Linked DNA regions of Caenorhabditis elegans. The protein of the gene in region 1 interacts with the protein of each later gene in a biochemical or structural test. Each region holds a gene or a part of one and is shown on either strand. Other genes may lie near its edges.

Region 1 (7,290 bases):
CTCGATGTTGGATAACAATGAGAGGATTGCCACCACCTATACGAGGACCACATGAGAGAAGGACCGCCAATGTTCGCGGAGTTCTTCCTCATCCCCAGTATCCAATTTTTGTTTTTCTATTTTCTGAGAGTCCCATTATTTTGAAATCGATGCAATTGTAAGATAAATTTCAATATGATAATTGAACTATATTTATTCTTCATGGTTTCTAATTTGATTAAATTTACAAAGTCAACATTTGTCGGTTATCAGTTTTTTGTTCTCCGAGCAAAGAACAACTTTTCTCTTCGCTTTCAAAATTGTTTTCTGAGCAGGCATTGTATGGAAGCAGGAAGCTCTCGGTGGAAGCATGACAAAGACTCGAACGATATTTTGCCAAGTTGTCTAATTTTATCTGGATTCATTAAAATCGAAAATAAAAAATTAACAAAAACAATGAACAGTAAACAGAAAGAAACAATAACACAACTGCATAAAAAGCAATAAAATAACAAAAAAGAAAAGAAAAAACAAAACTGGGCAATGATAAGAGTGGGGAAGGCACAACATCGATCTTAAAATCGAAACGAAATCATTGCACCAGTTTAAAATATTACAAAACAACAGAACATAAGTGGGTGGGATGAGATTTATGGTGAGAAAGTTCCACCTTAATCATCGCCGTGACTACCGGAAGAAGAAAATTTGACAGAGACTGAAGACTTATTGCTCCGTGGCTCTAGCATCAGGCTTCCTTCCTCGATCCCATTCTTCTCCAACTCCGGACCATCGTGCTCGGAAGCAGTACTGAAGTAATCCGTCTTGAATGAATCGTGTCCCGAAGATTGGAGTTCATAAATCGGATGAGTTGAACGGAGATTGGCAAGCGTCTCGATCATCTTTTTGCCGGATGAGAACCTGAATTTCGAATTTCAAAATATTATTGTGACAATAGTGATAACCTTGACAAGCGATGCCTTTCTTTCGTAACTCTCGAGTGCAACTTTTTCAGCCAATCCTGGAATGAGATTGCATGGTCATAGCCTCCTTCTTTCGTTTGCCGTCTTCCAGACACAGCATCACAGCAAATAGTCAGCATGCATTGAACGACGTAGTTTCCGAATTGATGGAACATCATGATATCGAGGGCATCTTTTCCCGTGTCCCTGAAAAAACATTTCATTTTTATGTGACTGAAACTAATGTTTTTACGGATGTGGAATGTATCCGTCGAAAATCTCGTCCATCATTTCGGCAAGAAGTTCCAATGGTGCATGTAGGAATGCTTTCTCAACAACATGAGAAGCAAACTTTTCCTGGGACAACGAAAGAAGGTTGCGCCTGAAATATTGATGATTAAAAATCAAGTAGATATTAAACAATAACACTCACATGAGGCATTTCTCTATGATACATTCCCGATAAACGGCCAGATCATCATTGGATACAATATGCTGTATTATGTAATTGGCATACTCGTTCGTAGCTAATTCTTGGCACCGATTAGTCACAGAAGTCATGAGTCGTTGGAGCGCTCGTTCACGAAGATTTTGAGCAGCGGAAGTTAAATCAACGTTCATTGAATCAGCAGTGAGCTTTTCGATAATAGTTTGCACAACACGGCACCCATACTTATCAGAACAAATCTGACGGAGGTGCTCTGGGGTGGCAACGAAATCCACAATAAACTCCCAATTCTTCAGTGGGATGACTGCTACGACTTTCTGAATGACGTGATTGGCATTTTGATCAACACAGATTGCGATAAGACGAGCATCACGAGGTAGAGCTTGAACAAGTTTACACGCAAGGGATAAATCCATGTTCTGGAGACTGGATTGGATAACACGACACGCAAATTTGTCCAAGCACATATCTGTCATTTGGGAACTGATGAAGTTCTTCAACTTTTCTTGTCGCTTTGTGTATCCGTCATCATTAGTTGCCAATGAAATTCCAATAACGCTTTGTACCAAATAATTTCCAAAGATGTTCGTGCTCAATTTCTGAAAAGAAAAGTCATGTGTGCTCGCAGAAACTAAAACTTACAAGGAAATCATCTTTTCTCCCAATAACTTGTTCAAACAATTGGAACTTCTGATAAGATGTCAGGCTGCCCTTCACTGCCTTTTCTAGGAACTGGCACCCAGTTTTGTCAACGGCAAACTTCATTAAATCGCCACTATCCAAAACTTCAGAGAGCGACAATCTTGAACGCATTTCACCATTGGAATCCAAGGACCAGGTTGGCAGCACATTGTTTGATCTTGTGAATGATCTAGAGTTCCTCGACAGAGCGGGTCTATAAATAAAAAAGAATAAATACTAGAGGATAGTGATAAATTAATTCGAACCTCGAATATTTCAAATGGTAGTGTTTTGAAGAACCATAGCTCTTGCTACGATCAATATCCGCAGAGAAACATCGGACATTTTGTGAAAAATCATCCGACTCGAGACGCGAGGAATCCGTATCAGACTGAATGAATGATGAAGTTCGGCTACGCGAGACCGGCATGAACACATTGGGCTGCAAATCAGTAATGAAAACAACCAAAAATTGCCTACTCTAACTTACAAAGCTCTGAAAACTCCGAAGGCTCATCAAATCAGTTAGCGGGGTTGGTGGCCGCGATGTAACAATGTGATTCTGTTGATGGCGAGCATAATTAATCCCATCGTTCATATTGAGCATTGAGAAATACGGGTTGAGAGAGTTGAAGTCCCACATAGGTGTCTCATGCTGCGCCATTGGTGATTGTGCGGGAGTCGGATAACTGTCAATCCCTGTAGAAGGAGGCTTCTGGGAAGTCTGTAAAACTTAGGCCATTTGTTTCTTTAGAAGTTACTGAAAACTTACTTTTCTGAACTGATTCGTTCTGCGCATCTTTGATTGGTCCATGTCGATTAGTTGATAATTTTATTAGAATGATTACTCATAGAAAAATTATCAATTCACAGAAAATAGGAATGGGAATATGAAAATAATATTTAAAATCGAATTCGCAAATGACGAAAGTGTGTCACATACTCTGGTGTTTGCGTACTTTGTCATTGTCTACCGTAACCAAATTGAAATTTTCAAATAATGCGAGATTCTAATCACATGTTTCAAGAATTAAAAAGTGTATTTAAAATAATTATCAATTTGATTACTAATGATTACTAGAAACAATAAAAATTTTTGGAAAATTCCGGGACCGTAACATATCAAATTGATAAACACATTTCAACCTCCCGAAAAGCTATAAACCGGTCGACTGACGGTGACGACATTTTACGAGCTATTCTGTTTCAGACTAAACACTTTAAATTGCTCGAAACACAAAATTTTCTTTCCCTATATTTGATGATTTGGAATATTCTCGTTGTTGTGGTTACGATCGTTACTAAATCGCTAGAGACACTCGAAGTTGATTTAGCAGGTCTAGTGAAGCAAACCGTAGCGGGAAACGAAGGAGTGCTGCATAACTGCAGTTCTGATCAAGATCAAGTGCTACAACAATGTTATATAGATATGTTTCAATCATATGGTTCAAATGTGACTAGCCTTCCCCCAGCAGACGAAGATCCATTTAAGAAAATTCGGTACGATGCCACTGGAATGTGTAGGTATGTGAAGGTATTACAACATTGCAACACCTTTTAAATTGTAAAATTATTGAAGAATTTCAATAGAACCGGTTTTACATGCTAGAATAAATATTTTTAAAAAAGACGAATAATTACAGTACATATACAACTCTACGTCACTGTCATAGTGACGTCATCAATGATTGTCTCAACTATAACACTTTCAATGCAATTTTTGGTTCAGAAAGCAATGCAGCTTATTACATCTCACAAACGGGGTTTCTTGAATTCTATTGTAATTATGGAAATGATTGTGAGGTTTTTCATTCTCGTTCATTGTTTTATAAATATTTCAGTTGTGGCATATTATGAATGTATGCAAGCAATCAGTTTGAATGATCTCTCTGACACGATTTATACTGAATGTTCCGTTTTGGAAGTTGGCAGTTGCGAGTGAGTCTAATAGTTTCAGACTTATTGAGATTAGTTTTTAATTTTGAGCTCCGTATCACGAACCACACAATGTGAGCGAGCAGTAGTGAGAAAATCATGTGGAAATAGTGCTGTCAAATCATACTGCCAATATCAGAAGATTCTCACCCACATGACTGGGTGGAACTTCTGTGAGTACATGCCATGCATCAATTCGTCGCAACCTCGAACATTCTTCTTCTTAATAATTTTAATGTATCTCTGCAAAATTTTTGTTTGATCTCATTTATAAAACAATAAAAGTTTATCTATTCAAATGGGAAAATCATTTGATTCACAACGGAAATGGAAGCAAAAAAGCTTCCAGAAAAAAGAAACCCGCGAAATTTCTTATGATACACTAATTAGAAAAGACGGTAGGAGGTTCTGTTTTTGATCAGAGCCGAATTTTTAAAGTGAGTAGCAAGATGATTCCACTCGAGACTTTCGCAGACTTCAGCCAATGATGTATCAACAGCTTGCGAATCAGTAGCAGACGACTTCAGTTCATCTCCAGCTTTGTTGAGAAGCTTTGCACATCTTCCAAATTGTCCAAGAGCAGCTGCATGTTTGGCAGAGATCAGTGCAGTTTTAGTATCATCAGCAGACAACCAAACGAGAAGCTTGACGTAAAACTGATTTCCAGTCCAATTACTATCCAACTTTTTCAGTTCTTCAGAGACAGTTGCATCAATTTGTTCAGATTTTGATTTCAGTGCTTCATAACCTTCAGACTTCTTATTGATCACTTCTCCTTGCTTTCCACCGAAAATTAGAGGAGTGATTCCTCCGAAACGAAGACTTGCTGGAACGTCGAACTTGCTCTTACGAACTTCAATATCCTGCTCCAATGATGAAAGAGCTTGCAAAGCGAGAATAATACTTTTCTTCCGTTCCTCAAATTGTGAAATCAACTTCACCACATCCTTTCGCTGGTCCTCACTGCCTCCGGTTAGTGCCAGCCATTTGTCAACAGTAAGGAGATCATCATCATGTTCTTGCTTGACGGATGAGAACTGAAGAGTTTCATTCGGTTTTGTGATTTGCAAAATTTGACCACATAATTCAATAATCTTCTGCACGTTTTCCGGTGTTTGATCCACAAGTTTTGCTTGCATCAATTGCTTTACTCGATTCTGAAGTAGTGGGAGATGATCTGGATACTTCTGCAGACAAGCTTCGAAAAATTCTTTCGCTGCCTTTTCGTCTGTCAATTTTTGCACCCATGATACTTCCAAATCGCGAATGGCGTCTGTAAATATGAATTTAATAAAAGATACAATTTTTAATTATTATCTACCAGTCATTTCCTGATTTTGATTCGTATCTTTCTTTGTTGTAACCATTGACAATCCTTTCGTAGGACGAGTAGAGTACTCACTGAGAAAGTAAATAACTTCAGATTTGTCTACATCACTCAAATCAGAATCCTTGAGAGCACTAAATGTTCCAGCAAGGAAACTTCCACTTGTTGGTACGATAGTCTTTGGCAATTTATCATCAGCGATATTCATAGCGTAGACGGTCATTTCTTGATTTGGAAGAAGGGCTTTTCCAGCAAATTTGCACTCTTTTCCAAGTGTTGCATCGCTGGCAGAAGCTGCGAGGTCAACAGAAATTTTGTTTCCAAGTTTCACATGAACACTGAAACACAAAAATCATTTCAGTTAGAATTTAAAGAATTACTTACAGCAGAGGAAGTTCCTTCATTCCTTGCAAAACTTGATCATCCGGATATCTAATCTGAGCCTGAATAGTATAATCTCCTTTCTCAAGCTTCTGAGTCCAACGATCCGGGTACGAAGAAGAAGCACCCACAAACGACTTGTTTGCTCCGAAAATTTGGAAGAGTACACAGTCCACAGGAGATTCATACAAATATGGAGTAAGGCCAGCAAGTTGAAGTTGCACTTCACTTGGTTTTTGAACTGAAAAAATAATATTTTAATAATTATGTAGTTAAAAAAGGTTACCTTTAAGCTGATAAGTCAACAGAAGACGATTGATTTGAAGTCCAGACGTAAGGAACATATCACGTGGTCCCAATGGTTCTACTTTGGCAGATTGTGGTTTCAGTGATACAACAAGTGATTTTAGAGAAATCGAAGGAGAAACGTCGATACTTTTCGTTGGAGCAGCTTGGAAGCGAATGGGCGTGTTAGTTGCTCCATGAATCAGTGAAATAGAAGTTGGCTTTTTGACTCCAAAGAAGTCGATGGTCATGTCAACATCCACAGGATTCTTTCCACGTGACCAAGCACGAACAACACATGCTTCAAGAGTCTTTCCACCTTGAACAGTAATCGACTTGCTCCATTCATTTCCAATTGGACCCTGTATTTTTTGAGTTTCTGTGTTTCGGGAACATTTATCATCCTCAATGTAGACCGTATGAAGTGTAAATCTATCCATTTCGTCTTTGTTAGTAGATCGGAGTGTTATCTCTGTAAAATGATGAGATTAATAGAATTTTCTTTAATTTTCATTTTTTACTTACTTGCACTGGTTGCCCACGACGGTACTTCGACAAATCGTCTTTCGGTGACTCCCGATTTACCAACAAGTCTAGAAGTGTATTGATCAACCGCTACCTTCTCAGGATTGATTACAGTAACCGGAATACGGAAAATCGGTCCCAATGATGGATCAGCCGTATCAATTCCAACAATTTCAGTGTAGTTTGCACCTTTTGGTGCTTTTGATGCATCAACGGTCACAACCATTGTTCTTTCTTGAGCTACCACAAACATTGTTTGTGGATGAGAAACCCATGGAGCAGTTGATTGTAAAATAATCTGTTTCTCAAAACTGATTGCAGGTAAATTGTTATCAGATAGATGATTCTGGAAAATTGGTTCAACGCCAATCGTGAATTCCTGCGGTCCATTCCAGTTAGGCTCACGAACATATACACCTTTCGATTTCTTGCAGTGATTCGATACATTGATCTCGAAATGTGTCAGTCTTGGTGGGAACACTTTATTGACTAAAATCTCGGAAAGTTTTTCATACGCAGTGGCGATCTTGATCATTCCTTGTCCTTGCGAAAATGACTCAATATGTGGAAGCATATAGGCAGTATTTTCCAATGCCATGCGAACGGTGTATGGAGTCCATTTCAAATTATTCTGCTTCAATCCTGACAGCATACAAGCGACATTTCCAGCTGCATTGGGAGAGCTCATACTTGTTCCATTCATCATTTGCATACTTTGGCGACAATATTGAGGAACTCCAGCAAATGCAGCCGCTGGAGCCACAAGACTA
Region 2 (5,444 bases), on another chromosome or scaffold:
AATATCATTGACTTTTCCAGCCTCTCACGCGGATTTCGCTCTCGCATTCAAAATCTTCGATGTAGATGGGAACGGTGCGCTGGATAAAGAAGAATTCACAAAAGTTCAACAGCTTATTATGTCCCAAACAACTGTAGGACAGCGTCATCGAGATCATATAACGCCAAACCAGTCGTTCCGTGTCGAGACAAACTCCGCTCTCGAAACATATTTCTTTGGAAAAGACGGAAAGGGGAGCTTGTCGTCTGAAAAATTTATCGAGTTTCAAGAGCGTCTACAACACGACATTTTAAAGATGGAATTTGAACGGAGAGATGCACTGGATAACCCGGATGGACTTATCAACGAAGATAGTTTTGCTCAACTTCTCCTTCTTCATGCTCAAATTAATGAGAAGAAACAGAAGCATATGTTGAAGCGGGTTAAACGAAGATTTAAAGGAGAAAATTTGAAAGGAATCAGTTTTGGAGAGACGAAAGCATTTTTCGAGTTTTTGTATCACATTGACGATGTAGATATTGCTCTACACTTTCATAAAATGGCTGGAATGTCGATAGATGCGAAGCTACTTCAACGAGTTGCGGTCAAAGTGACTGGAATACCTCTATCGGATCACGTTGTGGATGTGGTGATTACTTTGTTCGATGACAATTTGGATGGAAAATTATCACATGAAGAAATGGTTGCTGTGATGAGGAGAAGAATGCGTAGAGGTTTAGAGCGACCAAGAGATACTGGACTTTTCCGTTTGTTTGATGCAGTTCTGGAATGTGGAAAACGAGCTTATCACGCCAGTCCTCTTCCATTTTATTAGTGGTGCCCATGGCCACTGTAAATACTTGTTTATAAATAAAGCTTTTCATTCTTTTTAACAAATTATATTTGTTATGTTCATAAAAAGTGTTCGTTTCACTTTTCTTATCTTAATTTCATTTTTTTATTCTTTATTTCTTTCTCCACATTTTAAAACACATTTTTCAGGAAAATCATGTCGTTGGCTTTGAGAAAGACTTTGGGCGTCGCTCGCTTTTCCATGAGAACCGCCAGCTTCCAGGCTGTTCCAACCAACGCCGGAAAGACCCCACCAACCCTCGAACAATTCGATCCACTGAACCCAGGAGAGTGGCAACTCGGAGCCGGAGGAAAGATCCTTCCACGTCTGCCAGAGGGAACCAAATGCGGAAACCTTGTCATGGGAAAGTACGGACTCTACGATCCAATCCTCAAGAAAAGAGTTGATACCTACGCCAATGCTCTTCTCGAAGGAAAGAAGTCCGAAGAGGCTGGACCATTCGATGTCGCTGTCAGCAAGATCGCCAAGGTCCTTTCCTACATCTGCTTTGTCATCGCCATCTACAACCTCATCTCGTTGGTCAACGGAACTCCACTTCCACCACTTAGCCACGTCAAGGCTCCAGGATCCTAAATAATTTCCACTCGATTGCATTATCTCTTTTTTGTAGGAAGTTTTATGTTCTGTAAAACTTATGTCAATGTGAATCAATAAAATTCCCGTTTAGCTTGTTTTTCCACCAGTGAATCCAGGAATATTTTCAAAATTTCCAAATCATTATCTGGCTTGAAACAAAAAAACCGATTTCGAAACCAAATTTCGAAATAATTTTCAGAAATGGCATTGAACGCACCAAGCGGGAGCTGTAGCTCGAAGGTGCTTTTGCATCCTTTGGTTATTATGCAAATGTCCGAACACTACTCCAGAACAAAGGTCCAACAGGGTCCTACTGTGAAAAAAGTGTTCGGAGCAATTCTCGGACGGCAGAATGGACGACAAGTCGAGGCGATCAATTCATTTGTTCTGAAAATGGAGACAGAAGAAATGGCTGAGCCGGTTACTTTTAGCACGGAGCATCTCCTTCAAAGAGCAGATCAATGTCAGTTTTACTCTGTTCTTGCTCATTTTAGTTTTTTTTCCCCAAATTTCAGATCTGGAAGTGTTTCCCGAGCTCCAAGTTATCGGTCTTTATTGTGCTGGGGAGGATGATAATCTGACTCCCGAAGAGAAACCTCTTCTCTCAAAACTCACCAATGCGGTTCGCAATTCAGAGAAAGCCGGACAAATCGACGCGACACTTTTCCTTAAACTCAACTCTATCACTGCTGGAACCACTCGTAAACTTCCACTTTTCGCGTTTGAAGCAGACGTGACTGATCAGGAGAAGCATAAGCCAATTGAATGGATTTTAGTGTCGGAAGAAAGTGAACGTGTCGGTGTTAATCATATCGCTAAGTTATCAACGAAACATGGAAAAGACGGGAAATCAGTTGGAAAGAAACACGCGGAGGCTCAAGATGCAGCAATGAGCATGCTTCAGAATCGGGTTGATGTGCGTTCGAGAAATTGGAGGCCAGAAAAAGACAAAATTTCATAATGAGACTTCTGAAAATGCTGTTTAGCGGTTCAAAAATTTTAAAATAATACCTAAAATTCGCTAAAATGCATATTTCGATCTTATCTCGCATTAATTCGTTGATTTAAGACACATTTTCAGTCGATTGACACCTAATTTTGGAAAAAATGTTTGAAAAAAGTACCTCCATTTACTAGTAATTGCGAGCTAAACGACTAAAATATGTAACAACAGCTGCTGCGACATGAAAAGTTTGCGAAATTTCAGAATTTAGACAGTTTTGGCTCTTATTTTTTTTTGAAATTTTGACATACTTAAAAAGTTTATTAATATTATTTTGAGAAATCTCGTTATGAAAATCAATACAGCAGCAAACTAAAGTGGAATAGTCGAAATAGTTTTACTGCTTTATTAGACTCACAATTGACTGAAAACACCGAATTTCATAATGAAACTTCTTGAAAACGTCTCAAAAAAAAGTTATGACGGCTCAAAAAATAGCCTAAATGTAGTTAAAATTTGAAATTTGACCGACTTGTCAAGCGGCTGGAAACTAATTTTTTGAAATCTCCATCTAATTTTGAGTATAAAATTTAAATATCTTGCGTTTTCAACTTCATTTATGTATTTTAAAGCCGATGGACGGCGATATTTTTAATTTTTTTTTTACGAAATCTCGCCGTCCATCGACTTTAAAGTACCCAAATCGAGTTAAAAACGCAAGATAATGACATTGTATGCTCAAAATTTGACGGTGCTTTCAAAAAAAAAAATTGTTTCCAGCCGCTGCAACATTGCAAGACGGTCAAATTTCAAATTTTAACTAATTTTAGGCCATTTTTTGAGCCGTCATAACTTTTTATTGAGAAATTTTCAAGAAGTTTCATTATGAAATTCGGTGTTTTCAGACAATTTTGAGTCTAATAAAGCAATAAAACAATTTCGACTACTCCGCCTTTAATTTTTTTTACAAAAAAATAATTTTCAGCTAATCGTTGCCTATCTCGAAAAAGTGCAAGACGGAACACTTCAACCGAATTTTGAAATTTTGAAGGAAGCTAACTTGCTTGCTCAAAAGCTCAAAACCATTGATCGATATGCTGCTGAGTTCACTGATAGTTTCGAAAAGGAAGAGAAAACAATGACCGTATTCTCTCTGATGCCAAGATTGACAACTCTTCTCGGAAATATGCAAAATGTGTGGAACAAGTTGTCAGCTCAAAGAGCCGATCTTCTCGCCGACGATGGATTCCATGGAAAATCGACAAGCCGTTGGGCTCATCCGGTTCGATTCAAATCACAACATCTCGGTCGTCCGCAGCAGGCAGATGTAAGTTAATGCATTTAGAATATTTCTAAATCCTTTAGGAATGTTTGTTCCAGGATGACGATTATTTTGATGATGAAGATTTGGAGAACGATATGAGTGGACCACGGAGAAAAATTCATGCTGCTGATTCTCCAGCTGGATCGAGAAGACGACGTGTTCCGCCAAGAGGTAGATTTGGAAATTCTGAATTATTATGAAGACGCAGAAAAATTCACCTTCTTGGGGAAATTTTTTGAAAGCGGATTTTTCAGAAGTTTTGACATCAGATACGAGGTTTAACATTTTTTATCAACTATTAAAATTTAATTAAAAAGCACAAAAAAAAAAGACAAAAAATACCTGAAGGAAAATTCTAAATTTACGATTTAGCCGATTCAATTGGTCGTGGAACGATTTTTTTTTCAAAAATAAGCATTTTTGTGCGTCCTCATTTCAAAATCTTCTGGAAAACATTAAAAATGTTGATTTCAGCAATGAACTTCCTCGGTCGGAATTCTGGTATGCAAGCCGCCACGGACGAAATGGAATTGTCAGGTCAAGAGGAAAATATGGGAAGCAACTATATTCCAGACGTTCCAAGACCATCTGCAACAGCACACAACGAGTCGGACGAGTCGAGTCAAGCTTCATAAATATCCTTTTTTTGTTAAAAATTCACTGTAAAAATGCCACTTTTTCTTATTTATTTCATTGTTTCTCAAATTTTTACACCACTTTACGTGTTTTTCATCCCCATTTATCTGAAATATAATGTCTGATCTCCGATTCTCGATATTAAAAAAAGGTTAAACGTTCCTTATATCAATAGAATCCAGTTTAGTTTAGACTATAGTGATTTTTTCTACAGCACTAAATGCTTCGAAGTGTGATATTACGGCATAGTCGAACGATAAGCCGGAATAGCTGGGTGGCTAGAGCATTTCGAAGCGAGAAGGTCGACAAAGAAACGGTTTTTTTTTTCAAGAAAATGGATTTTTTTAAATTTAAAACTTCAGGGATTATTTGGAAATAAAAACTTGAAAACCGCAGAAAGTTTCAATGAATTACCGGCGGCAGTTAAAAAATCAACTGATGCTCTTATTCAGGTATTTAGGAGAGCTCTGAAATCCAATTGAAATCCTGTAAAATTCAAATTTTCAGGAGCTTCTAACCCCATCGCAGAATCCCAGAACTTCTATTCAAATTGTCGATGATATTTCGAATGAGATTTGCAAATCGGCGGATCTTGTAAGCTTCGCTTCGAAAAAAGTTCCCAAATTCAGAAGAACCACAAAAAAAAACGCGATTTTTGAGGCACCACGTTTTCAATATCTAGTCGGAAACAATGTCTACGAAAGCAAGATCTACAGTTTGGAGTTCTACGAAAACGAGAGCTACGCTATCAGGATCTGGCACCATGCCAACTGCGGTTTTCACAGTTTTCTCGAAGAAAATCGAAACAACGATGCTCCGATATCACGCATCGCGCGTTGTTTATCGTTTTCCAAAAGTTTTTATTTCAAAAAAAGCTTTTCTGAACGATAAACAACGCGAGCCGTGTAATATCGGAGCATCGTTTTTTCGATTTTCTTCGAGAAAACTGTGAAAACCGCAGTTGGCATGGTGCCAGATCCTGAAAACGTAGATCTTCGTTTCGTAGATCTTATTTTCGTAGATCTTGTTTCCGACTAGATCTTGAAAACGTGGTGTCTCACAAAAGGAGAGCAAATGGAAAAACAGAAGAAAAAAAACTTCAAAAAATGCGA

The links. Proteins that work in one complex are often made in the same cells at the same time.
Region 2: the proteins of fbf-2 (region 1) and csn-6 form a complex in vitro, tested with the Caenorhabditis elegans proteins (one study listed by BioGRID).

The regions. Positions count from the first base shown.
Region 1 is NC_003280.10:6,088,492-6,095,781, forward strand, and holds fbf-2 (Fem-3 mRNA-binding factor 2), read right to left. Parts: upstream 2,990-7,290; 5' UTR 2,882-2,989; coding exon 2,840-2,881; intron 2,792-2,839; coding exon 2,558-2,791; intron 2,510-2,557; coding exon 2,334-2,509; intron 2,282-2,333; coding exon 2,029-2,281; intron 1,986-2,028; coding exon 1,372-1,985; intron 1,321-1,371; coding exon 1,192-1,320; intron 1,146-1,191; coding exon 942-1,145; intron 898-941; coding exon 651-897; 3' UTR 372-650; downstream 1-371. Other genes in the region: nspg-3 (DUF19 domain-containing protein), read left to right, coding at 3,329-3,591, 3,711-3,865, 3,909-4,005, 4,054-4,264; tpp-2 (Tripeptidyl-peptidase 2), read right to left, coding at 4,389-5,275, 5,324-5,667, 5,714-5,951, 5,997-6,467, 6,521-7,290. UniProt on the Caenorhabditis elegans protein: RNA-binding protein that binds to the consensus sequence 5'-UGUGCCAUA-3' in mRNA 3'-UTRs. Involved in the control of stem cells and sex determination in the C.elegans hermaphrodite germline.
Region 2 is NC_003282.8:13,299,200-13,304,643, forward strand, and holds csn-6 (COP9 signalosome complex subunit 6), read left to right. Parts: upstream 1-1,624; 5' UTR 1,625-1,630; coding exon 1,631-1,892; intron 1,893-1,944; coding exon 1,945-2,345; intron 2,346-3,357; coding exon 3,358-3,699; intron 3,700-3,737; coding exon 3,738-3,867; intron 3,868-4,170; coding exon 4,171-4,331; 3' UTR 4,332-4,502; downstream 4,503-5,444. Other genes in the region: micu-1 (Calcium uptake protein 1 homolog, mitochondrial), read left to right, coding at 21-814; kdp-1 (KASH (Klarsicht/ANC-1/Syne Homology) Domain Protein), read left to right, coding at 989-1,426; Y67H2A.7 (Peptidase M3A/M3B catalytic domain-containing protein), read left to right, coding at 4,553-4,648, 4,695-4,784, 4,840-4,926. UniProt on the Caenorhabditis elegans protein: Component of the COP9 signalosome complex (CSN), a complex involved in various cellular and developmental processes.